Regions from separate parts of the Mus musculus genome. Here regions 2, 3, 4, 5, 6 and 7 are each reported to be linked to region 1. The links are microRNA targets in miRTarBase. Many come from high-throughput screens and were not tested one by one. Region 1 holds a microRNA gene; each other region holds the end of a gene's coding sequence.
Evidence for each region. Region 1 holds the annotated microRNA mmu-miR-290a-5p (ACUCAAACUAUGGGGGCACUUU, at 1,998-2,019, opposite strand). A microRNA usually pairs through its seed, bases 2 to 8, with sites in the 3' UTR of a target mRNA and lowers its output. Matches are read on the target gene's strand: a 7mer-m8 pairs with bases 2 to 8, a 7mer-A1 pairs with bases 2 to 7 and ends in A, and an 8mer does both.

Region 2: miRTarBase lists Mcm5 as a target of mmu-miR-290a-5p. Seed matches in the 3' UTR shown: 7mer-m8 at 1,007-1,013 and 7mer-A1 at 1,834-1,840.
Region 3: the mRNA of Kl is a reported target of mmu-miR-290a-5p. Seed matches in the 3' UTR shown: 7mer-A1 at 1,411-1,417.
Region 4: the mRNA of Mtrr is a reported target of mmu-miR-290a-5p. Seed matches in the 3' UTR shown: 7mer-m8 at 2,464-2,470.
Region 5: the mRNA of Hccs is a reported target of mmu-miR-290a-5p. Seed matches in the 3' UTR shown: 7mer-A1 at 2,712-2,718 and 8mer at 2,087-2,094.
Region 6: the mRNA of Zfp932 is a reported target of mmu-miR-290a-5p. Seed matches in the 3' UTR shown: 8mer at 3,409-3,416.
Region 7: the mRNA of Pbxip1 is a reported target of mmu-miR-290a-5p. Seed matches in the 3' UTR shown: 7mer-m8 at 1,859-1,865.

What each region holds. Positions count from the first base shown.
Region 1 is chr7:3,216,529-3,220,657 of GRCm38, reverse strand. Mir290a (microRNA 290a) reads right to left here and starts at 2,032; the gene lies at 1,950-2,032. Mir290b (microRNA 290b) reads left to right here and starts at 1,963; the gene lies at 1,963-2,020. It overlaps D7Ertd143e (DNA segment, Chr 7, ERATO Doi 143, expressed), which reads right to left and starts at 1,874. Exons shown (of 1, transcript NR_028425.1): 1 at 1-1,874. Mir291a (microRNA 291a) reads right to left here and starts at 1,739; the gene lies at 1,658-1,739. It also overlaps Mir292, Mir292b, Mir291b, Mir293, Mir294 and a transcript of Nlrp12 not described here.
Region 2 is chr8:75,126,480-75,130,608 of GRCm38, forward strand. Mcm5 (minichromosome maintenance complex component 5) reads left to right here. Exons shown (of 17, transcript NM_008566.3): 17 at 744-1,960. The coding sequence ends at 845. Among named protein-coding and RNA genes, the nearest start is that of Mcm5, 19 kb to the left of the region's middle.
Region 3 is chr5:150,990,876-150,995,004 of GRCm38, reverse strand. It overlaps Kl (klotho), which reads right to left. Exons shown (of 5, transcript NM_013823.2): 5 at 1,188-3,488. The coding sequence ends at 3,151. Among named protein-coding and RNA genes, the nearest start is that of Kl, 40 kb to the right of the region's middle.
Region 4 is chr13:68,558,969-68,563,097 of GRCm38, forward strand. It overlaps Mtrr (5-methyltetrahydrofolate-homocysteine methyltransferase reductase), which reads right to left. Exons shown (of 15, transcript NM_172480.3): 15 at 1,812-3,464. The coding sequence ends at 3,320. Among named protein-coding and RNA genes, the nearest start is that of Mtrr, 21 kb to the right of the region's middle.
Region 5 is chrX:169,309,753-169,313,881 of GRCm38, forward strand. Hccs (holocytochrome c synthetase) reads right to left here. Exons shown (of 7, transcript NM_001331049.1): 6 at 3,836-3,922; 7 at 1,778-3,270. The coding sequence ends at 3,072. Among named protein-coding and RNA genes, the nearest start is that of Hccs, 8.6 kb to the right of the region's middle.
Region 6 is chr5:110,009,501-110,013,629 of GRCm38, reverse strand. Zfp932 (zinc finger protein 932) reads right to left here. Exons shown (of 4, transcript NM_145563.2): 4 at 3,219-4,129. The coding sequence ends at 3,612. Among named protein-coding and RNA genes, the nearest start is that of Zfp932, 15 kb to the right of the region's middle.
Region 7 is chr3:89,447,758-89,451,886 of GRCm38, reverse strand. Pbxip1 (pre B cell leukemia transcription factor interacting protein 1) reads right to left here. Exons shown (of 11, transcript NM_146131.2): 10 at 3,622-4,129; 11 at 935-3,214. The coding sequence ends at 3,121. Among named protein-coding and RNA genes, the nearest start is that of Pmvk, 9.3 kb to the left of the region's middle.

The DNA.
Region 1 (4,129 bases):
AGTATGGCTATATGGAATTTCGCTAGATCCAAACATGCCTACAACTGAACTGAAGATTAAGGATTATTCAATGCCAAAAGGATAAATGCAGCTATATGTAATACAGTACCTGTCAAATCTGGGTCACTTCCCGTGAGGTTCCGTGCACCTCAGCTTTTACTTTTGCCCCATTACAGACTGAATCATACCCACAGATGACACCCAAATGATGCAACACTTAGGCCAACTGCAGTTTCTCAATCGGCAACACTACAAACTCTGCGGCACTTCTTACAAAGAACAAAATGTCACACAGTTTGAGTACCACAGATTGAAGCATTTCCACAGGGACCTGCTGTGGTAATAAACCTGAAACTTTATAGTCAGTTCTTAGCCAGACCAGCCAGCCAGGCAGGTTGAAGGCAAGTAAGTACCCCAGGCTAGGCAGGATTACATTCAACTCAACTGGAACACCTGAAAAACAAAGAGAATCCATGAAGATTATGCTTAGGGCACACAATGTAACACCTGTAATCCCAGCCCTCATGAGCCTGGGCTATTGTAAAGCCAAAAGGTATTATGGGTATTATCTACCCGGCTGTCCACCAAGCTTGTTTGTGCTAGGAGCCAGGTTAAAGTCAGCTACAGCCAGCAGGTCCTAAAAATTCAATCCAACCATATCAAGACTCACAACCATCAGTCCAACTACAGTAGTCAAGCAAGATATAGCAACTACAGTAGTCAAGCAAGATATATAGGATCTTTTAATCCCAGGTGGATGGAGCTGAGGCCAGGCTGGTCTACAAGTGAGTTAGCTCCAGGACAGCCAGGGCTACAGAGAAACCCTGTTTGGAGAAAAAGGAAAAAAATTGAAAGAGGACTTAATATGGCGGCCACGTGAGATTTAAAAGTAGGCCTTTCTTTACTCAGACCTGAGGCTTAGACTCACCACCCCTGGACCTGGAGTGCCTCCTTCCACCCTGCCCTGCTTCCTCCTCACCTCCAGCCTTGCAGCTCGAGTAGCCAGTGGCAACGAATTCACCTCCAGCACACATACCTGTTTCAAGCAGGTAAGCGATTCCAGGTTGCAGCTGCAGCCGGCTTTTCAGACGCCATGTACACACAGAGACAAACAAAATGGATGCACTTTCCCGCCAAGCCGCGGAGAGGGCCTCCACTTTGATCGACACTGTATGTTCCAACTTCCAAGACCTGAGGCTCAGCTCCTCCGAGCGAGGCCCATGTGGGATCCCGGCTCCTTTATGAACGCGGAAAGCCTTTAGTACCGCATGCGCCCAAGTGTTCGGACTCAAACCCACATGTGACACCCACCTGCCCAGAAATGCAACCCCAGTGAAAACATGACCCACTAAAACTTAATTCTTAGTTCTTAGCCGTTTTGAGTTCTCAACCGGTGACACTCAAAACCTGGCGGCACTTTTCTTCCGATGAAAATCCAAAAGAGCCCCCAGTTTGAGTATCACAGGCTGGAGGTCAAGCTTAAGAACAATCTACAATGCACCTGGACTCACGACTGCCTTACATCCATCCGCGTCTCGTGGCACCCAACTGAACCGCCCTCTTTAGGATAGGACCCATTAAACTCCAAGCCTAAACCCCCACACAGGTTGTCCGCTCCTGTAAACCGATGCGTCAGATGCAAAGCTATGATGTTTTCCCCATGCAGTGGCACACAAAGTGGAAGCACTTTCTCATTCAGGCTCAAGAGAGGGCCTCCACTTTGATGGCCGCTACATAGGTGTAACAGCTCCAAGCAGCGACAGGACGCACATGGAGCCCCCAGGTACCCTACAACGACCACCTCAGTTACCGTCTACTGGGCAGGATGCCCATCCCTAGCCTTTCGCTATACTCAGTCTCATTCCTTTCTTCGAATCCGTACTCACCACGCTGCAGTTAACCCGGAACACGTGGCACCAGGGCTGGTAAATGTGCCAGATAGCCGTTTTCTCAACCGGCGGGGCTTAAAACTAGGCGGCACTTTTTAAAGAAAAAAAAAAGTGCCCCCATAGTTTGAGTACCGCAAGATGAGGCGGTCCAGACGTTAAAACATTTACCAGGAGGAAAGAACGTGGAGAACTTAAAATTCACTCCAACCTGAAGGAAACCTGGATGAAATCAAGGAAGAGTTAGTACATCGGTCTAACTCAAGGTATAGTGAAACTCAAAATTTCTACAATGAAACCACGTAGTTAATGAAATGTACTGCATAGACTCCCTAGACCTGCCCTCAGTAACTCCTAGCTTTGGTTTCTGGTCCCCAAACTTCACTCGCGCCCAGACTACTCACTTTCCCCACATAGGCTCGTTCCTCCCTTGAAATTATGTAGACCAAGTCAGAAAAAAAAGCCCAACTCTTTTTCCACACACATTAGTTCTAAATGTCTTCTTTGGAGACCAGACCAACCTCAGATGGGCCTGCCTCTGCCTCGGGATTAGTAAACCCAGCCAAACCGTGGGGGCGAGCGAGGAAGGCTGAGTTCGCGGCTAGCCTGCCTTTTAAAAAAGGGGCTCTAGTTTTTAAAAAGTAGAATGAAGATGGCCGTGATGACCTTTAATCTGGAGGCAGAGAGGCAGGCAGAAATGAGAGTTAAAGGCCAGCCTGGCTAGTCATCTCCAAAGTTGAAGCAGGAAGATCTCTCTTCTGGAAATCCTGGATCTACTTTCGCCTCTCTAAACCAGGTAGATTAAAACCACAGAACTGAAGGAAATAAAAAATCTGAAACTAAAAATATTACCTTTGCCTATGTGAGAAGCAGCACGCCGGAGGTATCCCTGAAGACCGCAGAGACCAGCATTCCCGATGTGGAGTAGAAGTCTCTGAGAGGCGTGGGGGAGGCTCTAGGTTCTTATATAGTCTGAAGGCTCATTGGCCCCCTGGACTGGGAGGCTCTGATACCCCTCCCCCACCCCGGAGAATCCTTACTCTACCACCCTGCTTCCTCTGAGCTGAGTTTCCCTGCGGCAGAGTGACCTTCACTGGTTTCTTCTCCCCCCCACCCCCCAGAGGAAACAGATTTCTTTGTTTGTTTCTAGAAGCAGCGCCTTTAATCCTATAGTTTTCTAGGCCGAGGCTGGAGGATCTTTGTTAGTTCAAGGCCAGCTTGGTCTACTATGGTGACTAGGCACGGGACTAGGCAGGGCTACATTCAGTATTAAGATAATAATAAAAATAAATAAAGGAAGAATGTGGGAGGTTCAGTTTATTCTTTCGTTTGAATTTTTTTTAAATCCAGAGTTTCAAATCCTCCCTCTTTTTTACCTTTCTTTCTTTCTTTCTTTCTTTCTTTCTTTCTTTCTTTCTTTCTTTCTTTCTTTCTTTCTTTCTTTCTTTCTTTCTTTCTTTCTTTCCCACACTGAATATGAAGGTCCAAGAACAATATGATAGAGTTAGTTTTCTCCTATGCTTAAATATGTTTTTTTTGGGGGGGAGGGGGTTCAAGACAGGGTTTCTCTGTGTAGCCCTGGCTGTCCTGGAACTCACTCTGTAGACCAGGCTGGCCTTGAACTCAGAAATCCGCCTGCCTCTGCCTCCCAAATGCTGGGATTAAAGGCGTGTGCCACCATGCCCGGCTGTTTTTCTTTTGTTATTATTATTGTTGTTGTTATTATTATTTATTAAATATCTTTAAATAGCTCCATGGATTGAAATTAGGTCTCCAGGCGGCAGGGCTAAAGCTACAGAGGCATATTGCAGACTTGGAGTTTAGGGTTTGTTTGTTTGTTTGTTTGTTTTTTGGAGACAAGGCTCAAGTACGCCAAGCTGGCCATAAGCTCATTAAATAGCCAAGAATAATTTAGGACTCCTAAGTCTACACCTTGTGTGTGTGTGTGTGTGTGTGTGTGTGTGTGTGTGTGTGTGTAATGGAACATTTTTAAAAAATTAATTTAATTTTTAAAAATGTATTCACCCTACATCCTACTCACTGCCCCCCTCCAGGTCACCTCCTTCTACAATCCTTCCCCCAACCCCAGTCTTCTCCTCTGAGTCGCCCCCCCCCCCCCAGCACTTCCAGTCTGTGGGGCTAGGTGCTTCCTCTCCCACTGAGGCCAGACAAAGCAGCCCAGTTTGACCATCATAACTCCGGGACAGGCAACTGCTTTTGGGATAGCCTCTGCTCCAGCTGTT
Region 2 (4,129 bases), not on the chromosome of region 1:
AGCAGAGGGGTGCTGGGATGGGGATGTTTGAGCCACTGTTCCTTTTGTAGGAACTGCTACAGTCTACAGTTGGGGTTGGCTATTTATAGGGAAAGGAGGAAGACAGGTCTGTAGAAACCAATACCCAATTTTCCCATCTCTTAGGTTTTCCCTTGTTTAGATCCTTACATGGTAGGGAGGACCAGAAACAGATGAGTTAGCCTTGCAGCCCATTGGGAAGAGGGCTACTGATAACATGCACAGGAGGTACTGTTTGGGGTACCAGTAGGAGCCTGTGCCCTTTAAAATCATGAGGATAGCCCTGGTTTCTGTTTCTCGTTCCCTTCCCTGTGTATCCTCTCCGTTTGCTCCTGGAAGTAAATTATACAGTAACAGATACTGGCCCTCTATAAGTGAAGAGACTAGTCTTGCCTGAGGCTGGGGCTGGAGAAAGCTTGACTTCTAGGGTCACAGGGACTTAAGTCCTAGCTCACTTAATTGCTATATGACCCAAACAAGTGACAGCCTGTGCCTATTTCTTCCTCTGTAAAATGAGATTATTCCTAATACTAGGTGCATAAAGTCGATATATGTACTTACCTAGTACACAAGAGGCATCATCACATACACACTTTTCTGAAGTCAAGGGAGAATGGAGGTGGATATTTTTTGTCTGTTTAAAATTGTCTATGATCCGGTGATGCATCAGGTCCCTTGGGTCATAATGATATACCTGTGCATCTGTCTTGTGCTCCCTCCTACAGAAATATCCAGAGCACGCTATCCGAAAGGTGCTGCAGCTCATGCTACGCAGGGGTGAGATCCAACACCGTATGCAGCGCAAGGTGCTCTATCGCCTCAAGTGAGCCCATTGCCCATCAACCCTCAAGCCTGAAATGCTGCCACCACCCTATCTCCCAGTCAGTGCTCCAAACCTCCTTTTGCCCTGCCTCTCCACCTCAGACTGCAGTCTGCAGCACATCTGCAGCCCCTGGAAATGTACTTTGGTCTGTTGGCCTCATACTGTGTTTGAGTGTCTGAGGACTCTCTGCTCTGGGTGTCTATCCCCTGTCATGCCTTCTCAACAAGATGAGTCTGGAGCAGGAACAGGCCCTGGAATGTAGATGGGTCTGTATATTGGCTCCCGGGCCACTCACTGCCAAGCTTCTTTGTATGTACAGAGGTAATAAAGCAATTGAGTCCCTGGCTGCTAAGGTCAGTGGACCCAGTATGATAGTAGTGCTGTGTGAATACAAGGTTGACTCTTTCAGCTTTCTTCAGCAGCACCTAATGTGAGAACTGGATCATTCATTGAGTTGTCTGCCTCAGTTTCCTAATCTGCAAACAAATTTGATGAAGCTGAGCTCAGTGAGTGAGTGGCTGTCAGTGAAAACCCAAGTAGACTCCAATGTAGAATGTCTCCAGGGCTTTATTTATAGCAAGTGGGCCTCAGTGGTGTCTGGGGAAGGAACCAGACGTCAGGGTTTATCAGTTAAGGAGCTATGAGTACCTGAGCAAGCTTCAGCACAGTAGGAGGTATTAGTGACAACATTGTTAAAAGAAGACACCCAACACCTCGTATTACCAAAATGCCGAAAATTATGATTTTAGAAATCTATAATTTATAAAATTAAGGAAAAGTCAGTGAAATATTTAAGTATTTGTTATGTAAAGTACATTTATAAATGGGAAGCTAGTGCTGAAAACACTGCAGTCACCAACAGTAAAGTTACTGTAGGAGGAAGGCTTGAGAGAACAGGAAGTACATACACAGGCCTTTCTCGTAGATGGCGTCCTGTGCTGAAATGGCTGTTGCTTGAGGTGTTTGCTTTTTTTTTTTTTTTTTTTTAGTTTTTTGAGACAGGGTTTCTCTGTGTAGCCCTGGCTGCCTGGAACTCACTTTGTAGACCAGGCTGGCCTCGAACTCAGAAATCCGCCTGCCTCTGCCTTCTGAGTACTGGGATTAAAAGTGTGGGCCACCACGCCTGGCTGAAGTGTTTGCTTCTTACTCCCTCCTGGAAATGTGCTTGCTCCTGACGAATGGCCATAGCCATTTCTTTTTGATTGGTCTGCAAACTTGGAACAGAGTGTGCTTGTCTGGAAGGGCAGGCTTGGTAAGAACATTTCATCCTACTTGAGGCCTTGAGGATGCATGGACATGCGGGCCTGCAGGAGTGCTTAGTTGAGTGGAAGATGCCGATATGATACCTCTTTCTTGGTAGGCCCTGGCTGGCAGGCACAGTGTTAAGGGAGACAAGCTTGGCTTGCAGGGAAGTGGGCAGTGCTCGGTGTGCCACAGCACGAGGAAAAATGCCCAGGAAAATATCCAGGAATTAAGGATTGGTTGGTTTCTGAATCTGAACTGGATCCTAACCTTTAATTCTACGAGACACTGGCCTGAGCTGCTGGGGCTAAGTTACTGTAGCCCTGCAAGTATGGCCAAGATGGTCTTAGGACACACTTTCCCCTCTTTTCCTCACCTTCCCATGAGTGTCTCAGATAAGTAGGATTTGAAGCAGTGCTCTGAGGACTCAGCCCTGCTGCTTGCTCTGCTTTCATTGCTTCCCCAGACAGCAACTTGATTTTCACTTTTTTTTTTGCCTTGGCATGCTTGGGCGTCCTGGTGATTCCTGGTCTGGTCCCTTGCCCAAGGTATAGATAGACATTTCACATCCCCTGGTTGGTCTTTCAGCTTAAATATTATTTGTCCTTAGACATATATTCGTGTCACGCAGTGACAGGATTGGTACGGGCCCAAATGGGCTGCAATGGCCTGTTATGTTAGCACCTGAGCTCTGCTGCATCTACCATCACATATTGTCTGACCCAGACTGCACGTGGGAGAGGATTCTACTGAAATGCATGAGGTGTGGAGGATTTCTGGCAAAATTCTAAGCAACTGTTAATGACAAGCTGTTGGGAATCATACACACTGTCACCTTAGCCACCATAGAAGTCATACGTACAGTGAAGATTACAGGCCAGACATGGAAGTTAGCATCCCTGTAACTCCCATATTTAGGAGATGGAAGCAGGAGGATCAGGAGTTCAAGGTTGTCCTCAGTTTCAAAGTGTTCAAGGCTACAACCTGGGCTATAAGAGATTGGTCCTGTTTCAAAAACAATCTACATAAAAATGTGTTAGTGAAAATACTATTTTAGAGGAACATTTACAAGTACCAGAATAAGGCCAATTCTCTTTTTTTGCGGGTGTGTGTGTGTGTGTGTGTGTGTGTGTGTGTGTGTTTCGAGACAGGGTTTTCGTATAGCCCCGGCTGTCCTGGAACTCACTCTGTAGACCAGGCTGGCCTCGAACTCAGAAATCTCCCTGCCTCTGCCTCCCGAGTGCTGGGATTAAAGGCATGCGCCACCACCGCCCAGCCCAATTCTCTTATTTTTAAACTATTTTTTATTTTTATCTTATGCATCTTGGTGTTTTGCCTGCATGTATGTCTGTATGAAGGTGTTAGATCTTTGATTTGCAGGTGTTTGTGAACTCTATGGGTGCTGAGAATTGAACCTGGGTCCCCAGGAAGAGAAGCCAGTGCTTTTAGATGCGGAGCCATCTACCCCATCCCAAAGAAACAACAAAAACAAGGAATTTCAGAAATGCAAAAGATGAGTTTTCTCAGACTGTTGAGGTGGAAGTGGCAGAAGATGCACACTTCACAGGGTAACTTTGTGGTTTTAGATGTAAGTTTTTCACTTCTATTAAGTATGTTATGGTTTTAGATGTAAATCTTTCATATTGTGCGTGGGTGTGTATGTGTTGGTCTTAAATAGCATGCCACATGGGTGGAGCTTAGGAGGCAACTGCATAGAGTCTGTTCTCTCCTTGCATGTTTACATGGGCTCTTGGGAAAACTCAGGTCATCCGATGTGTGTGACAAGCACCTTTACCTGCTGAGGCATACAGATCCGTGTGCTTAAACATGAACACTGGTAGGTTGGTATTTATGAGCCAAGGGTTGCAGCTCAGTGGTTGACTGCTTTCCTGGCATGTGTGAGGCCAGGTTTTCAATCCTGGCACCACAGGAACATGGTATGGTTCAAAGGGTAGTTTTCAGTTAAATCAGTGAGGGTTTTTTCTTCTACTTGAAAGATGAGGCGGTAAGGTAAAGTTCTGGTGTAAGTACATGGGCCCAAACCCA
Region 3 (4,129 bases), not on the chromosome of region 1:
AGCCTTGAGTCTGGAAAGCCTCATCCTATTCTTGTCCTCTCTCTGTTGCCTGACTGAAGCAGTTGCTGTCACGTTTCACCTGCTTTGATGGACCCTATCTCCTTGAATCTTAAGCTAGAATAAACCTGCCCCACCCCCAAGTTATTTCTGGTCAGGTATTTGATCACAGCTATGAGAAAAGCAACAATCCACATATAGGTCTTTAGAGGATACGTTCCACCAATTGTTTAGCCTAGTTGGGAACTAGATGTGAATTACTCTATAGGTTATAGAGGAACTGTAGAAGGGAGAGGCGGATTGGTTTATCTTGGTGTTGAGGGTCTCCCTGGGAATTTACATATTGGACTCTTAATCTCCAAAGATACATTAATGAGATTTGGTCTCCAGAGATCTTTTGAATTAGATGAGGTCAGGAAGATGGGGTCCCCATGAAGAAGATGGTGGCTCCATAAGGAAGCAAGTGCTGACGAGCTTGCTCTGTCTTGCCATGTGATAATCCCCACCGGCTTGTACAGCAACAGGTCTGGGCCAGATCTTTGACCTAAATAAACTTCCATTCTTTATGAGTTGTCTAGTTGAACGTACTCAGTCATTATAGTAGACAACAAAGGCAACCCCACTAGCCAAAAGCCCCTCCCCCTAGACCCTCTCTGCCTACCCCAGTCCCCGAGTCTGGCACAAGAAGCCCCGCCTCTTCTGTCTAGCCAATGGCTGGAGGTCTCTGAAGTTCTACTGAACATGAAGTTCCCATGATGCTCATTGAGCTGGTGGGCTTCCCGGTGTCTGGTTCTTCTCTTCCTAGCATTTTGCCATTCTCGTACTGTTCTCTTTGGCTTTTTGTCTGTGTTGTTCTCTCGTGTCTCTCAGCTCCTGTGGCCATCTGAACGGCCCTATTGCTCTGGTCACCTTAGCAAATGTGAGAATACTTTGCTACTTAAAAAACAGAGTCTATAGCCCTGGCTGGCCTTGACCTCCCAGTTATACCCCTGTCTCAGCCTTCCATGTACTAGATTATAAGTTCAAACTACCATCCCTACTATTAAAAAAAAATCACTACCAATCCACAGACACATAATTATGGTAGAAGGTAAAGATGCACAAAGATTGGTTATAATGCTTTCTCAAGAAACAGAATTACTTTTCTTTACATTCCCGGAGTAAGAAGAGTAAATGATTCAGCAAGAAAGTTATTTCTAAATGATATTTATTATTGAACTAATTAATGGGAAATTGGACCAACAAATAAAACAGTTTTGAGCTGTTCTGGCAATATTCTCCATAACTATTAAAGTTTTGCTCTTGAAGACTAATGACAGAAAAATTACTTCAGTAAAAATGAATAAGAGTTTGAGGCTAGCCTGGTCTGCAAAGTGAGTTCCAGGACAGCCAGGGCTATACAGAGAAACCCTATCTCAAAAAACCAAAACAAAACAAAACAAAACAAAAAACAAAAACAAAAAAACCCAAGAAGATGTATGCCTACGTATCACATGATCTCAGTATACAAAACACAACACATAGGAACTGTCAGCAGCATCTCTGTATTATATTATAATTTTTTCTTTACATATAGTTTTTGTTTCTTAAATTTTTTACAATTAATATATATTACTCTGCGATCAAGAAAAATAGACATAAAATAAACTATTGATTCTATAGCATTTGATTTCAATAATAAGTCCAGATGTATAAAGAATACCACAGCAAAAGCTGATCATTCACCAGGAAAACCATACCACATTGCAAGATGAAGAATAACAGGGTGATGAGCTATGTGCTGTGACCCTGTGGCAGCAAGGGTAGCCATGCCTGCTATGACGGATTTATCTTGCCTGATCTGGTATCAGGGTTATCAATAAGACCACTCAGGTGTAGCACAGAGACTTCTCCCGTGAGAGTCAGTAAGACTTAGGGTATTAGGTGTAGAAGAAGACCTAATTAGCCTTTCTAGAAGTCAGTAGCATGGTGTAAGAGCTCAAAGAGGGGCTACGTCAAAGCCTCTTCACAGAAGCACACGGTAGATCTCGGCGGCCGCAAGGACAGGTTCCCAGTGTGCTCACACTGTGATTGCTGCCGGATCGACTAAGAAAGTTGAACATCATGGCATCCAAGCACTGACAGCATATTCTGAAGAGGCATTCTTTACAGTTTGACTGAGAGCTCCTCCTTCTTCCTGTGGGAAAGGTCATTGCATTCATTCCAAGGTCTGGTCAAAGATAAAAGGATGTTCAATCAAATCACTCAGTTTCCGCTTCCGAAGAGGCCAACAGCTCATGGCTCATCTTTATTTTTTGTGAATATTTATCAAAAGAATCTTCAACATGGGCTGGTTAAGAGCATGACAGCTCCTCCGGAGGTCATGAGTTCAAATCCCAGAAACCACATGGTGGCTCACAACCTTCGGTAATGAGAAACAAATAAAGAATCTTTGGGCTGGAGCAAGCTGGGTGGAGCGAGGTGGGGCAGAGCAAGAGGGAAAGGGGAAGGGGGCTGGGGAAGAATCTCCAACAAGCAGGCTCTGAAAGGAAAGTTGGTAAGAGAAAGCCCTCAAGGATCTGGGGTTTAGGGCACACCTCAAAAACATTCACAAGAATACAAATGTCCATAATGTGCTTTCTAAGTATATTTGTAAATTGACATTAGCAGCATTTGGTAGGAATAGTGCTTCTTAATGGGCTGCTCTGGACTCAGGGCTCTTGGCCACCTTTACTGGATATTTTTCTACTTCACCTTGTAAAACTGGATCAGGTAAAGTCCAGGTGTTAAGATGGTAATTGAGAGAGTGTTACTCCCCAACAGGAGTGAATTTAAAAATGGCCATGGATAAACAAGTCCCTAAAGTTGTTCTTTAAACTTCTGTCTGCTTGGCACTGTTATCCCTACCGTATTCTATGCCTTCCATTCCGGGGCACTGTAGAAACTGTGGTGAGTATAATTCCGTAATTGCCACCAAAGAGAGCAGATTCAGATACCATTCACCCTGCAATATTTTATTCTCACCAATTCCTGTTTAAAACCTCTACCACCCATGACAAAAAGGGTTTTCTAGAATCGAAATGTGTGGAATGCGGCTCACAACACAGAGAGGTGCAAACGGCTGACGGCGTGTACATCTTGATCCCAAAGCGAATGGCCAGGCAGACGTTCACATTACTTATAACTTCTCTGGCCTTTCTTGGAGTAGTGAAAAATGAGAGCAAGAGAAATAATAAAAGTAAAAACAAGAAACGAGATGAAGACCAGCAAAGACTTCCGGGTTTGAAAAAATCCACATTCGGTGCACACAGTGTATTCTTCTGGACAAAACCTTCCCAGTGTTCCAGAACCCAGGAAGCCATTGCTGTCAATAATTTTCCTGTAATGTTTCATAGATGGTTTGGGCTCAAACTGATTCGCAGCATATCGATAAAAGCCAGACTTGGGAGCTGAGCGATCACTAAGTGAATACGCAAAGTAGCCACAAAGGTTGATGTCGTCCAACACGTAGGCTAGAGAAAAGAAAAGGGCAGGAGAGGGTTGACTGTATACTTTATACACAACTCAGCCTTTTTACACAGCCTTGGCAGATAATGAAAAGCCTGGATACCGTTCAACAATACTTGAGACTCATCAGATTTCACCGGGAAAGATTTCACACCAGAACAAATAGGCAAATGCACAACACACACAGTTAAAATGGCTGTGGGGGCAGCTGCACCATTCACAACAAGTATGAGATGTCAATAGATCAAAGGATAACAAAACTGGACATAAAGAAAGGCACATGTACATGCTGGAATTTTGTTGAAGTGAAGAGTGAAAGGATGCCATTTGCAGGAAAATGGATCCAACTGAGACTCAAGACAAGGATTGTACATTTTCTCTTACGGCTCATATTTACACACACACATGTGAATATTACATGTGTGTGTGCTCGAGTGTGTGCTCACAAGGACATGAAATCAGTAATTATAGAATTATGAGTGCTGAGGAAGAGATCTAAATTGAGGAGATTTGAGAACAAGAGAGGATAAGGTTGAGAAAGGGACAAATGAGAAATGTCCTTATACATACATGCACACATACACACATATACACGTACACACTTATATACATACATATACACATACATACACACATACACATATAT
Region 4 (4,129 bases), not on the chromosome of region 1:
CAAATGGAGGGTTGGATTTTTGAATACCTGCTTATGACTATAAATTTATGACTTGCAACATAAAGAACCTTAAATAAGAGTAAAACCTGGATTTCCTGAATGGATTTCGGGGCATTCATTTTACATTTCTGTGTCTACCCCCCTCCCCCCGTGCTTTAAGCCTAGGACTTCCTGGCCTCAGTGTCGTCCTCACCCCCATGTGACACACCTGGCTTAATATCTTCCCCAGTGCAAACCCTGGTCCTTAGCTCGAGGAATGTTTCACTGAATATGACTCAACTTTAACAAAAAAATTTCAAAATTGCTCTCACCAAAACAATGCCCTACAGTTCAATTACAGTTTGACTCTGATCAGAAATAATGTGGGGGCTGGAGAGGTGCCTCAGTGGTTAAGAGCACTGGCTGCTCTTCCAGAGGTCCTGAGTTCAATTCCCAGCAAACACACGATGGCTCACAGGGTCCTATCATTTTCTTATGTTTTGGTATGTTGCATTTTTCACAGAATGTATATTCATCTAAAATTTCATTTTAATATAAGAACATTAATTTAAGATCATTTTTCTAATTTCTTTTATGCATTTGTGGAATATGTGTTGACATCTTGCATGCTTCTAGCTGTGAACGTTTGCTTTAACTATTGTGAAACTTTACTAACTGCACACATATTAAGAAGTCATGTTCTCGCTCACTGATTCATAAATTCTAGGGAAAATATCTCTGGTAGGATTTTTCCCTTTGAGGCACCTTCTTTTACCCCAGCTAAATGTGACTTGTTTTGGTCTGCCTGATGTAGCCTTTTCATGACTCTCAGCAGTAATCTGGGATGCCTGGTGAACAATCTGCCACTTGAATTGCTTTTGATGATTACGTTTTATATAAAGACTGAAAACTAGGCCAGATTTGGTGGCACATACCTGCCATCCCATTGCTAGGGAGGCTGAGACTGGAGTATCACCAGAAGCTTAAGGCTCTTTCCATTCAGTCTCTGTTACAAGAGCCACAATAAACCTCTTGAATACAGTGTAAACAAACACCAAAGCCTGTGCTGGTGTCAGCACAGAGCTCAACGAGTCTCCAGGATGCACTGGACCCAGTTTGAGCTGAGATTGCAGGAGTAACAGGTTAGAAAGGTCCCTCACCAACGCCAGTGATAGCTGAAAAGTGGAAGCTGCATCCAACAGTTTACTGCATGCCTTACCCCTACCTAAACAAAAGCTAAGACAATCTAGCAAGACCTGGGGATGTGCTGACTGCTGACCTTTACAATAGCACTGTCTACAGACTCATACAGGTTCATACAAACAGCCCAATCCCAACTCCAGAAGGCTCTCACACGGGAACAAACTTCTTACAGGTGGGTTGTCTCCAGCCAGTTTGGAGTTTCCTTGTGCTCACACAGCAGGTTGATGGAAATTTCATCCCTCACTATTCATAGTTTTAATAAGGATCGGAGTGACTGCATTTCATTATCACCAACTGTGATAGGAGCCCAAATCGAAAGCATGGATGTCCTGTCAGAAACCTAGTCTTGATTGTTCTCAACAGCCACTAGTATTGCCTTTTGGATCTGTTGTCTGTGGTCATGTGTCAAGAGGGCAGGGGCAGGTCGGCACTTGTAACTGAGGAACACTGTTCTTTGTCCATGTGTTGCTCCAGTCTACTGTGGCTGATGCATACAACTTACAAATGTCGGGATTTGAGTGTTTTCCTAACCCCTATCTTATTTATTGCACATAATACATGTAATAGTGAGGAGAGAATATGCAAGATGGGAAGAGTAGAACAAAAAGCCACAAAGCCTCACCAAGCTTGATATTATATTACTCTTTCAAATCTTTAATTCTTATAATGACCTAGGAGTCTTGTGATGACTTTTCACCAGGTAGAGATGTGTTTTAAAGGTGGACTATAAAATGAGACCGTTACTATACACAACAGGGAGGGTTTATCATGCTTGTGAAGGCTATGTTACAGTTAGGTTTGCAGGGTCTACAACCTCACTGGAAAAAAACCCCTGGGCATGTCTTCGAGAGGTCCTCTACACTAGGCTGAAGTGGACACCCACACTACACATAGGCAGACCTGTTCCATGCATTAAAGTATTGGAGTGTGTGAAAAGGAGGAAGCCAGCGAGGCACTTTTCCTTTTCTTTTCCTTCCTGACTGGACGGGATGTAACCAGTCACCTCCTCCTTCTGCCACTATGATTTCCTCAGCACTGTGGACCCCACACCTGAACTGAGCTAAAATACCCTCTGTAAGTTGCTTTGTCCCAGTTTTTGTCTCAGCAACCACGCACACAATAGCACAGGATCCTTTTATATACTTTATTTTCATAACTTGCAAGAGAATTTGGTATTAGAAGTCTTAACTGGAGTTCTTTTTTTTTGTTTTTGGTTTTCGAGACAGGGTTTCTCTGTGTAGCCCTGGTTGTCCTCGAACTCACTCTGTAGACCAGGCTGGCCTCAAACTCAGAAATCCGCCTATCTCTGCCTGCCTCCCAAGTGCTGGGATTAAAGACGTGCGCCACCACGCCCGGCCTAACTGGCGTTCTTTAAGCTGAACTGAATCACAAAAGTATAGTCAGGTATTGGGAAAACCCAAGTCTGTTAGTGAGGAGCAGACATGAATGGAGTCCATGAGAAGGACAGGGCACACTACTGAGCTGTACACATGATACCTTTGTCAGGGGAATGCAAATGCCCCTAAGCTGTAAGATGGTGACACTGAAAGTTAACATGATGAAAATGGCAGAGTACTATATCAAATATATTTCAAAATATATTTCTAGTTGCATGAAAACCTTCATTTTGTAAGGATTACCTCAAAATTAAAATATTTTATCAGAAATATAATTTTGATAATAAAACCACAATTAAATAAAGACATGCAAAAGAATGCTTTGCATGTCTGTGTTAATTTAAATATCACCAATATAAATATCCTTTGAATATACTTCATTGAAAGATAGTATGTCCACAAGCTCTCCAAGATGTGCCCAGGCACAGGTGAGCCGTGGATGATGATCTGTCCTCCTGGGGAGCCTATGTGCAATGGGTGCCAGGTGGGAGCTGCCTCTTTCCCCTCCACGTAGTGATGTGCTGGGTGGGGCCACAGGTAAGGAGTGGGATACAACCTGTGAGACTGTCAGGCGGTTGTACCTGCTGTACCTGTAAGCAAGCCGTTCCCCACACAGCCACCTCCAAGAAATGTCCAAACATTTTTAAACTCATCTTCTGTAAAATTGACCTTTGGCACTTCAAGAAAAAACAAACAAACAAACAAAAACAAAAACAAATTCCAAGCGTCTCTGTTCCAGTTTAGGACCAGATGTCCTGCAGATATCGTTTCTCTTGCTTTAACGTTGCCAGCGTCTTCATTGCTTCTAGTTTGTCAACACCAGCTTCATTGCTTATGATTCCTATGAGGGTGTCGTTCACGTCCTTGGCCATATTCTTGGCGTCTCTAGAGACAAAATGGCACACTTTATAAAGCAGGAACTTCCCTTAACCAAACCCTCTTAACCACATCCCTAATTCTCTCTGATCCCGCAATCTTTGTTTTCTCCTCACTTCTCAGAATGTTTTCCAGGCATCCAGCTTCACTTACCGCAGGCCAAACCTTCACACATGGTGGCCGCTCTAATAGAGCTGACCACATGGTTCCATGGCTTACAATCCACCCCTAGGCTCCAGTGTCCTTGAACAGTCTTCAGTTTTACTGCTGGAGGGAGCTGGGCTCTAGCACAAGCCCCTGCCTTCCCTCTCCCTCGAAGCGAACGGTAGACCCCCATGCTCTCATAGTCCCAAACCTTCATGCACATGAAGTGACAGGTCCCTTCACTGAGGACAGAACTTAGCTCTTGAAGGCAGGTGAGGCATCACACACAGCTATGTCACTGCCCCTTGCTAATTCCATGTTAAGACTGTCTGAGTTCAGGGAGTGGACCTCATGTCTCCTTCTACATCCTGACATCTGGATGAAGAAACTGTAAGACAGTACCTTCAGATGCCACAGTTTACCCTTGAGAGGTGTCTAAGGAGCCAGAGCATCTGTGTCCTTCCTCATCTTTTCCTCACCCACCCAGAGCATCTCTCCCCACAGGCCTACCCTCTGCAAACCTACAGGTC
Region 5 (4,129 bases), not on the chromosome of region 1:
TTACCTAAATTCTATTTATGAAGCTGGTTTCTGTGTCGTGCACTGCTTAATGTTTTAGATTAGGAAATCCAGGCACTTAATTACCTTTGTCAGGTAGGACTTGCATATTAACTATCAATTTATGTCTACGCATCCTTTATTCCCCTTAGCCTTTTTAAAGATAACATGAGGTTGCTTAGCATCTATTGTAATACTTTGAGTACCCAGTAATACTTAAAATTGACACAAATCAGAAGAACCTCCTGATCTTTCCAGACTCGTCCTGTGGAATGTCTCAGCACTTCTGACTTCTAGCCTTGCTTCACAATCTCTCTGTGACGGCCACTGTCAACCGTGTGGATGGCTGTTAAGCTTTTTCTACCCAGGAGTCTGCCCCAAAAGCACACAGATCACTTCACAGAACTTGTAAACCAACTGTCTGCTCATTTTCTCATTTTACAACCATGAAATCAGAGGCCCAGAAGAAAAATGTCACTGAGCAAGTAAAGCAAAAACTGGAACAAACCACCAGTCTTCAGGGTATGCCCTCTTAATCACAAAGCGCCTCAAACCTTTAGCAATAGCAATGATTGAACATGGCTTGACAGTCATGACAAGGACAAGAAAGGAAATAAATACAGAGCACTTCACTTTCAATGGGGAGCAATAACTCCACTAGAGGGTGAACATATCAGGGACCAAAAATATTGGCAAATGTCGGTTTCCTTTCCTGTTGTGATAAAATAGCCTGATAAAGCAACTTGAGAAAGGGTTTTGGCTCACAGTTCAAGGCCATTCATCCTGGTGGGGAAGTCAAAGCAGTAAGAGCCTGAAGCAGCCAGTTACCTTATGCCCACAGTCCAGAAACAGAGAGGTGCATACTTGGTTTCCAGTGTTCAGCTCACTTTCTTCAATTATGTAGTACAGGATATGAATGGTGCAGCCCAAGGTGGCTGAATAGTCCCACCTCAGTTAAAAGTAATCAAGATCGTCCCCCACAGGCACACCAAGTTCCACTTCCCATGTCATTTGAATCCTGTCAACCTGACTAATCACAGTAGTTATATTGAAATGTACTTATATGTATCCCTACCCCCCATCATTACCTTAGAGTTTTTAAAATATGAATTCTACAGTACTGTAATTTTGTTTACGGACTGAGCTCTGAAAGGTTGTGTTTCTGTAGGCAGGGGATGATCGTTGGCCATCTTCTGTCCTGAGTATGATGCAAAGTGAACATCAGCATCTCACAAATGACAGCTAATGAGTTCAGAGAAATACTAAGAGCTAACATGTAACTCAGTTTGCACATACCTTTACTGCCAAAACTGATTCTGAATGACGTCATCTCCACAGATAAAACTTAAGTTTAAAATGTGGGAGGTGATCCAGAATGCATTTCAACTTATATAAAAGCCATCAGAGCAGTGAAGTTTTACTCCCTAGGCAGACTGAAGTAGAATCGAGCCACGAAGCAATCCTGAGTACTCAGTAACCTAGCCACAAAGCAACTCAGTACTCAGCAGGTATCTTTTCTAGAAGTGGTGAAAGGGCATAGGAAAAATTGTTGATCTTAATAATTGAGTTTATACGACAGTTGACTTTCACAATACCCTGTCACTATACACTTTAATTTACTTTCCAGTCCTAATCCAGTTGTGACCTGAGAAGGGCCAAAAGAGATTACATTCTTATGCAGTTTAAAATTATGTGATTAACAGATGAGACCACTGCTGCATTTAGTAAAGATAAATTTTTATCTCAAAAATTAAGTAACTACAAAAATCACTCTAAGAAGTTTCAGAACCTTTTAACTGTCAGCTTTATTTAAAAAATACAAATATTTTCACATGTTAGATTTTTAAAGCATCATACAACAAAGAAATCTACGTCAAATAACTCAAAAACACAAATTCTGTCCACTAAATGTTACAGTATTTAAGATAAATTAAATATTTTTCATATTATCAACATTTAAGAAAAAGCTATTTCTAAGGTGTTGCTATAATTAAAATAAAAACAACCAGTTTTCTTTTCTTTTTCTTTTGTTTTTTTAGAGAGAGGATTTTTCTGGCTGTCATGGAACTCACTCTGTAGACCAGGCTAGTCTCAAACTCAGAGATCTATGGAATGCTGGGGTTAAAGGCTTGTGCTACTACTGCCCAGCAAAACAACCAGTTTTCAACAGCAAACTCAGCACATGCTTAAAACATCAAAATGATGGTGAATTGGTGCAAACATTTCATATCTGAAAAAAAATGCACTTCTTGTGAATTCTAACACTTAGCCAAATATAATCTTATTCGTCAAAGAAACACTTCTGGCACTGTGATTGGAGCCCGGCTCTCAAGGTTTACATTACACGACTGGTGGCAAGCTCCAAGTAGGAAGAGGGAATGGGATGAGATAAGATAATTTGTCATCTTCTAGGGATGGTGTGATCAGCTTTTCATTGATAGTTACATATTGGGACAGAATTGAAAAAACAAGTATTTTGAAATTTTTATGTATCAAGTTGAAATTTCTATCAGGGTCAAATCTGAAATCACATTTAAACATAGACATATCAGTCTTGCAGACTTCATTCGGTATATACTTGTATATTTTGTTCAGACCAAAGGGATTTTAGAAATATTAGTTACTTTTAAAACAAGAACAAGTGCTTCTTATTTATAATGAATATAGTTAAATTATTTGGCAGGTAAAAGCATCACACACTTTCAGGTTTTATATCTCAAATACTCCTGAGGAAACAGTAAGAATAAAAACAACTTTTTATGCTTTTAAAACCTCTTTTTCAGAGATTGTTAAGATGTCTAAAGAAAATAACATGAAATACTGGACTTAGTGGGAAAACTAAGGAACTTATACCAAATAGGGAAAAAAATTAAACTGACCTATCATCTGCAATGGAAAATGTGATTCAAAATTTAAAGGAGCATGGCATCTTTGTTAAATACAAGATCAAATATGATCACTCACTCGAAAAGTACCCTCAATGACATTATGAGTGCATTTAGTTTGGGGAAAATAGTTTTAACAGCTTTCTCAGGAAAAAAGTTTCACTTTTTTCATAACAAACAAAATAACAGTTACGAAGTCCAGCGCCACCAAGCAACCTTCATTCTGTCCCATACTGCAGAGAATGAATCAAAGGCAGGACGCACATCCAGGATAGTGAACTGGTACTCCTTGTTCACCTCACCACCATCATAGTAATCAATCACATATCTAACTTCTGTGCCACAACGATTGATGATCCAGTCATGGCGGTCAAAAGGCAATTCATACCTGTAATGAAAACAGTTTGCTAAAATGCAGGTCTGTATTCTGTCTGTCTTGGTGGTAGCAGAAAGACAGAGTGAAAAACAGCACATACTCATTTGCAAATATCTAGCAGAGGAGATGAGCCTTAGTCAATCAGTCCATGGTGTTTAGAGAATATGGTGATTAAGAACTATGATGAATCCATGTCTATAAAGGAATAGGTTCATGGTAAAGAGGGCCAGGCCAGGCTAGGTAGAAAGCTGGAGAAATCAAATGTACTTAATAGTCCTATTACACTATAAGACAAGGGAGGAGTAAGGCAAGACAAAGAGCACAAGAGGAGTAAAAAGACAGTTCTGAAGACACCAAAAAAAAAGAACAATTCAATCCTTCCAGAGTGAAGCATGAAACCAGCAACCCAACCTTTATAATTCTGCCCATCTATGAGTAAACTCAAGGATATGAAAGAAACATAGGCTGGATACTGGAGATGTGGAAGATGGAATTGCTTTTCCTACACTGTTTTAGGTGATAGGAATGCTAACCATGGCTTAAGGAATATCAACAGCAGTTCTACACTGACACTTACCCCATCCAGGAACGAATTCTTGCTCTTGGTGAATACTCTCTTGCTTTACCTCCAAATCGGACCAACGATGGGCCACAAGGACACTCACTGAAAATGCCCAAATAAGAATAGTCTATTAAAAACATTTTCTTTCATTTGATAGGATGATATTTTTGTTTTTGAGTAAAGTCTTCTTTTCTACATTTATTTGTTATACTATCACATTTACAGAGAATAACTTCTAACAAAGTTCAAATAAATCCTATTTGTTAGAGACCTTTTTCTTTCCTTTCGGATTATGTGTGTCTCTTTGTA
Region 6 (4,129 bases), not on the chromosome of region 1:
TTCCAGTATCACCTTGTGTCCAGGACACCTTTAGTAGGACACAAGTGGAAGACAGCATTGAGGGTACCCTCTGGTGGCTTCTACTGAACCAATTTCATACAATAAGATGATGATGAAAGACTAACTCTAAGAAAGGTGCTACACTGTTTAAATTTCCTATAAACAAATGTTCATGTGTGATGCGTATTAGAAAAAATTTATAATAGTTTTATAAATAATTTAATAGGAATATTATATGTAAACACATTAAAAAATATTTATTATTATTCATTAGTACACTGTAGCTGTCTTCAGATGCACCAGAATAGGGTGTCAGATCTCATTATGGTTGGTTGTGAGCCACCATGTGGTTGCTGGGATTTGAACTCAGGACCTTCCGAAGAGCAGTTAGTGCTCTTAACTGCTGAGCCATCTTGCCAGCCCATGTAAACACATTTTAAAAGTAAAAGATTTAAAATAAAAATTGTTTCTGAGTGAGTCTTTCCAGCACATTTTCAGTAGCCTATTCCCAATATTATCAGTCCTCGGACTGGAGGATAGGATGTGCAAACTTGCCCATTTACACATATTTTGTATGACTGCCCTCCCACACAAAAGGGAATACTGTGATCTGTATTTTAGGTGCTAATTAAAGCATCTAGGTAACATACCATCTTCTTCAAACAGGCATAGAGCCTTTTACCATCTCAAATAAATTTCACCTACCTTTTAGGGAGGGGAGAGAAGAGTTCTACCTTTTTTGGTCAAGGGTTTTGCATTTTTATTCTTTTCTATTATTATTAAAGATTTATTTATTATGTACAGTGTTCTGCTTGCATGCCAGAAGAGGGCACCAAGATCACAGTACAGGTAGTTGTGAACCACCATGTGGTTGCTGGGATTTGAACTCAGGACTTCTGGAAGCGCAGTCAGTGCATTCAACCTCTGAGCCATCACTCCAGCCCACTTTTCATTTTAAGGATCTATTTATTTTATATATGTGAGTAGACTGTAGCTGTCTTTAGACACACCAGGAGAGGGCATCATATTCCATTACAGATGGTTGCTGGGGATTGAACTCAGGACCTTGGAAGAACAGTCAGTGTTTCTAATCTCTGATCCATCTCTCCAGTGCATATTTATTCTTAAGATAATTTCCCAAACCACACGGTGGTGGCACATGCCTTTAATCCCAGAACTTGGGAGGCAGAGGCAGGTGGATTTCTGAGTTTGAGGCCAGCCTGGTCTACAAAGTGAGTTCCAGGACAGCCAGGGCTGCACAGAGAAACCCTGTCTCAAAAAGAACCAAAATAATAATAATAATAATAATAATAATAATAATAATAATAATAATAATAATTTCCCAGTAACACTATATCTATAATTTAGTTAATTGCTTATTTAATTTCTGATAATGAACAAATTTGTAGTAGGTCAAGATGACTAGAAGGAAAAAAAATCATCATTGCACTTGATAACATTTATCATTAGCAGACTGTTAACTGTGAATGTATGCATGTGAAAGCTGTTCTCTTTAATTTCCTGATACAAAATTAATTGCTGAGCACACTCCAGAGAAATAACACTTTTTAATTTAATGTTTGCTAGTGCACATTTCATGAAATAACATAATGAAAAAATAGTTTCAATGTATAATGTGCTTCTTTGGAGTTAGATGGTCAATAAGTGATATTGAGCAGCCACAACAATGTAGTGGAGTTAAACTACACTCACTGCATGTAGAACGTAACAGCACAGACAGAACCCAGATTCAACCTCCTTACACTAGATATCAGTTTAGATGTTTTACATATTCAATACAATGTTGACTCTAAGAAAACACATTGAATAATTAGGAAATCTTGATCTCTGCATGTGCATTGAAGACCAGAATTCATTACCTGCTCATCAGGCAACATTACCAAGGAGAAACAGTGCAAGACCTCAGAGACCAATCATGGTTCATGCTTTGCATGATGTAAACACAGGAGGGAAACCTTTAATGAAAACCCACAAGACTTTTCTTTCCCTGCCCATCACTAACATAGCTAAAGGCACTCTGGTCATTATGTGTTCTTCCTATGAACCTTCCAAATTGTGAAGAAGCTTGGAATTAAACATTTCAAAATAGTCACATACAGTGATCTTTCTGGAATTGCTTCAAGGTATCAGCAGCAGATACCATGTTCTGATGCTCTTTGGACATGGATGATGGCCTAGAAAGTACATCACATGAATGTTAAACACAGAGTATTCTATTAAATGAGTGTTTGGGTTTAAATAAACACTAGTGCTTAAATAAAATAAACACTATGTGAAGCTAGTAGGAAGCATCTTGGAACCCTCTCTTACACCTCCTAATACAATGCAGTTGGTCCTCTCTGGCAAACGATCATTGAATCTGTTAGAGCATCTCCTGGAGTCCTTGTCTGGCTTGAGAAGGCCTTTACTGTGCTTTAAGCTCTAGTCCCTCTTGGTCATTCTGGTGCCTCTTAATTGTCTCAAGTGAAACAGGCTGCTTTGTAACTAATGCCTAGGCTTACTCCATGTCCCTATAGTAGTGCACTTCCAGGAGCTAACAGAAATGGAGGCATGACTGTACTCTCTAGGTCTACTCCTCAACATTGTCATCACCTTGGCAATTCCCCAAGATTAGACAGTTATTTTCTAGCTCAGGGTTCCACATCCATGGATTTCTGTTTGAAAAACCTAAGCATGACATATACACGTTTAATCTGAGCCTTAAAGAGGTAGAGGTAGGAGGATTTTTAATTCAAGACAACTCAGGAATATATGTGAGATTCTATCTTAATACATCACTGTCCTCATGGGGGAAAAATGCAAAGGAAAAGGAGATGTAGACTATAGATGAGGATAAATAGAAGAGGAGAAGGAAAAAGAGACTATTTAAAACATGTTACTTATCAAACATGCAGAGAACTATCTACTTGTCAGTTTCTCTCCAGTGCGGTATCTTTTTTTTAAAGATTTATTTATTATTATTCATAAGTACACACCATAGCTAACTTCAGATACACCAGAAGAGGGTGTCAGATCTCATTACGGGTGGTTGTAAGCCACCATGTGGTTGCTGGGATTTGAACTCAGGACCTTCTGTAAAACAGTCAGTGCTCTTACCTGCTGAGTCTTACCTGCTCTTACCAGCCCCAGTGTGTTATCTTTTATGCTGTCTGTCTTAATTTGGGTTTATTGCTGTGAAAAGATACCATGACCAAGGCAACTCTTATAAAGGACATTTAATTGGGTCCAGATTCAGAGGTTCAGTCTATTATCATCAAGGCGAAAAGAATGGCAGTGTCCAAGCAGACATGGTGCTGGAGGAGACAAGAGTTCTACATCTTGATCAGAAGCCAGAAGACTCTTCTGCCCTGTGTGGATCTCAAGGTCCAAGCATATAGTGACAGACTTTCTCAAACACCACATCTATGCCAGAAAGGCCACACTCCCTACTACTGCCACTTGTCATGGGCCAAGTATATTTAGTCCACCACACCTTTCAAGATCACTGTAAGGCTTTACCACATTGGTTATATTCATAGGGTTACTCTTTAGTATGCGTTCTTTTATGCATTCGAGGATGACAATGGTATGAAAAGGCTTTACCACATTGATCACATTTGTAAGGTTTCTCTCCCAGTATGAACTCTTTCATGTCTTTTAAGATCACTTGAACCTACAAAGGCTTTACCACATTGATCACATTTGTAGGGTTTCTCTCCAGTATGTATTCTTTTATGTACTTGGAAATAACTTTGATTTGCAAAGGCTTTGCCACATTGCTCACATTCATAGGGCTTCTCTCCAGTATGTGTTCTTTGATGTACTTGGAGTGTACTATGATATGCAAGGGCTTTACCACATTGATTACATTTGTAAGGTTTCTCTCCAGTATGTGTTATTTTATGCACTTTGAGATGACTGTGTCGTGCAAAGGCTTTACCACATTCATTACATTTGTAAGGTTTCTCTCCAGTATGTGTTTTTTTATGAACTTGTAAATAACTTTCATATACAAAGGCTTTATTACATTGATCACACTTGTAAGGCTTCTCTCCAGTATGAATTCTTTCATGTTTTTGAAGTTTATTATGAGAGGCAAAGGATTTAGTACATTGCTTACATTCATAAG
Region 7 (4,129 bases), not on the chromosome of region 1:
GAATCTGAAGGGAGAAGTAACAGGCTATGGCCCCCGGGAAAGCAGTTTTGGGGACTGGCTAACAGAATGATGTTTTCCACTTAAACGTAGAAGGCCCTGCAAAGGGTGTGGCGGTACAGGACTGTAGTCCCAGCCTCTCGGGCCCCAGAGGCAGGAGGATTGAAAGTCTGAGGTCAGGCAGGGATATACAGTAATATCCTGTCTCCAAACAAAAATGGTAAGAGGTGCCGCTGGCAGTAAAACCTTTGCCTGCCACACAGGGCGTCCTGGGTCTGACGCTAAAGAGAAGGGGAGGGAAAAAGAAACAGGACAGGAGAGAGGTATGGGTGAGAGAAGGGAGGCAGGAGAATAAGAGAAGGGGTGGAGGAGGAGGAGGAGATATCGATATCTGAGAGGAAGAGAGGTAAGGCCTGACTACCCTCCACTCCAGCGACACCCTCACAAAGCTCCCAGGGACACTCTGAGGGCAGCAGCCCCCAGAGAAAGGATGGAAAGTCACCGCAAACACCACGAGCTTCAACTAGACGAGTCCCAGCACAGACCCTAAAGAGCCAGCAGGGCCCAGCGCAGCAACAAGCATCTCTGCTCCTAGAATCACTTTGCCCTGCGGTGCTGTCCTCCAGCCCTCAAGCAACCACAGGGCACTGCCTCCAGCCCTTCTCACACTCCATCCCACGCACTGGCCCCACCGTCAGAGGAGCGCCTGTGGTCACTCTTCAGTGTCACTATAGGTTGTGCGAGTGAGAGAGAGAGGGACCTCAAGGCCATGGTGGGTATGAGGCCCTTCCCCCATGGGGCCCCAATGTACCTGGTTCCCTGGCCCTCCCCAGCATGCCCCTTGGGTTAATGGCTCTCCTGTCCTTCCTAGCTTGGTAGTTGCAGATGCAGTTCCACTGATAAAGCCCTGAGGGTGTGAGAAGAGAAGAACCAGGCTAGAGGAACTCTGAGACTCCAAAATTTATTATCCAACATGAGCTCTTGACATGGAAACCAGAGGCCAGAGAGCCCTGTACCAACACCATCTAGGAAACCAAGGCAGGCCTGTGAATCCCCATCTCCAGACCCAGCACCCCAACATGCCAGCCTACCTGCCTCCGGCCTTGAGCTTTCACCCAGCCACCAAGGTCACCACATCTGTATAAACAGATCGATCTCTGAGGACCCTTGAGTGAGCAGCAAAAGCAGGGTTAAACCTGCCTTCCTTCTGAGGGACACTGGTCCAGAGAGACAGGGAATATAATTGTCTTTCTAAACCAGACGGCTCCTTCCTGGAGCCCCCAGCCTACAACACTGACCTGTGTAAGGTAATGTGCCTTAAGTCTAACCAGAGCTCCTGCTGCTGCAGATTCCATGCATATTAAAGGGTCTACAGGCCTAGGGCCTCACTACCTGGTTCTCATACACAATAGACTTTTATTTTCAAGAAATGTGGTGATGGGTGATCTTTTTTTGTTTTTGCGTGTATGTTTGTGTACCGTGTGTGTGTGTGCCTGGTGCCTACAGGGCCAGAAGAGAACATCAGATCCCTGGAGACTGAAGTTGCAGACATTTGTGAGCTACCATGTGGGTGCTGGGAATCAAACCTGGGGCTTCTGGAAGAGCAGCCTGTGCCCTCAGCGGCTGAGCCATCCCTCCAGCACCACACAGCAGACTGTTTAAACATTTGTGGAATGAGCCACCCTTTCTACCTGTCTTGTCTAGCACGGAAATTAAACAAGCCACTGCACTTAAAAGCCTTTTAACAGTGACATAAAAGCATTGCTAAATAATTCAAAATCGATTCCAGCACTTTCTAGAGCCTACAGTCCTGTTTTGTTTCCCTGGCTATCCTGGAACTCACTTTGTAGATCAGGCTGGCCTCAAACTCAGAAATCAGCCTGCCTCTGCCTCCCAAGGGCTGGGATTAAAGGCGTGCATCACCATTGCCCAGTAAGCTTACAGTCCTTAATCCCCTCCTTAATTGACCTGACCTGTGTGGTCACTGCCCCCTAGAGTCCCTGGGAGAGTTCCAGAGCTAGAAGCCCAGTGTGCTACCAATGGCGTAGAGGTTTGAACTGAGGGGGCGGGGCGTTCCTGAAGAATAACCAGGGGGATTCTGGGAATTCTTGAGAGCTAGTCAATGGGTAGGGTGTCTGGGGTGTGGGGTGGTGACCAGGGGCAGGAGGGAGAAGTCTAGAGAAATGTGAAGCCAGAGCGCCACCTAGTGGCTCCCTCACCTCTGCAGACCCAGGTTAGCGTGTTCCCTGTCCTCCACAGCACGCTCCAAAAAAGGGATCGATTCTTGTGTGGCAGAAACAGAATGTCTGCTTCCTTGCTTCACTGACTCCATTCCCTTCAGCTCTCTTTCTGAGGATAAGAACACCACACCACACTGCGGAGAATGACCTGGCTTGAGGCCACCCCACCTGGACTGTGAGACAATTGGTGGCTGGACTCAAGGCTAGGCTCCTTGGGGAAGGTGGGCGCACATGGGGAATGGATGGGAAGGCCGAGTGCAGTGCCTAGATTGTGCCTAAACACCAGCGTGGTGACTGCAAGGTGTTCCTTGCATTTAGGGACCACCTCAAGTGACAGAGCCCCGCCATGGTGGGACAGCTCAGGTGGGGAGGTGAAAGCCGCAAGAGGCATGGTGAGGACTCCTCAGGCTTAGGGATAGCTGTCTCCACAGCTAGCTAAACCCCAAGGCAAGTCTGGAGCTAAGTCTCTAACCAGCAGCTCTAGCACAGGGTGATAGGCTCTGCTGTGGACCCAGGATAGCCACAAAAAAATGACAGCTCTCTGACTTCAGAATAAGAGTCCTCCCCAGCAGGCTCCCAGCAGGCCCCTACATGTCACTTAGTACCCAGGGCCTTTATCTTTGCATATGTCTGCTTAGACAGTTCAGCAGCGCCAACTATGGCCTTTTTTTTTTTCTTCTTCTTCTTTTTTTTTTTTTTTTTTAGCAAAAGTGGTACCAGTGCAGGGCCAAGTGCGTTGCTCTCTTCTGTGAAGGTCATTCAAGGGCACCAACGAGCCAGGAGGGGCCCGCTGGACAGTGGGAGCATAGCTGCTAGGGTCACATAACTCCAGGCATCTTGAGCTGGGTGCATGCCAAGGCCGGCTGTTGCAGCAGGACAGGGCTCAGCCTTGGTGGTAGTGGTGCGGATGGCGGCTGTGCTCTTCCCTGGGCCCCACAACTCTGGGGTTCCAGGAGTGCTTCTCCTTCTTTCGTGACCTATGGGGGAGACAGGGAAGGAAGCAGGAAATGGCCTTTAGGAAACAATGCCACATACTGAGATAAGACCCTAAGGAGAAGGAGCCCTGTTCTTCTGGTGGAGGCCAGCTCAGGTGACTGCCACCAAGCAAGGGAGGAACCTGGGCTCCAGGATGAATCCATTGGGGGAGACAAGGGGCCCTCTATGTACAGGCAAGGTGGGGAGGGGGTCCTGGCTCAAAGGGGGACCCCTCAGGACCACTGCAGCCCCTCATGGGAAGATAGGATGTGTACCCAGAAGCCTTCTTTTTGTAAGGCCAGGGGATCAGAAATGAAGAGAGAGACTCAAGCTACAGACCTCTTCATTCAGGGCCCAACGCCTTCAAATCCCTCGGCTACTCTCTCCCACGCCCATCCCCAATTCCCACCTCTTCTTCAGGGCCTTGTCCCCAAAGAAGTGGCCGAAGACAAAGTCCTCAAAGTCATCCACTTCATCATCGTCGCCTGTCTGTTTCAGTGCCACCTCCTCCAGGCTGTCCTCCAAGGCATCCACAAAATCTCTGAAGCGAAGCCGGTCATGCCTGAAGATGCCATCTTCTCCAAAGTAAGCAGGTGAGAGGGGCAGCTGTTTGGTCAGCTGCCCGGCCCAGGGCAGCCGAGACAAGTATTCTCTCAGCACAGAGGCCAGCTCCTGCTGCCGCACAGGGGCCAGCTCCACACCAAAGAGGGCCAGGCCCTCCTGCCGGGCACAGTCGGCCACACCTGAACAGCCCTGAGGGGGTCGGTACTTGCGCCTCAGCAGCTCCTCCCAGGAGGACAGGGCGTCAGGGCTGTTGTCTTTCCCCCAAGAATGCTTCTGCCTTTCTACAGAATGGGAGTTCCCATCTTTCCTAGGGTGTACCTTGGGGTCCTGTCGCTTGCTGTCCTTTCTGCTCC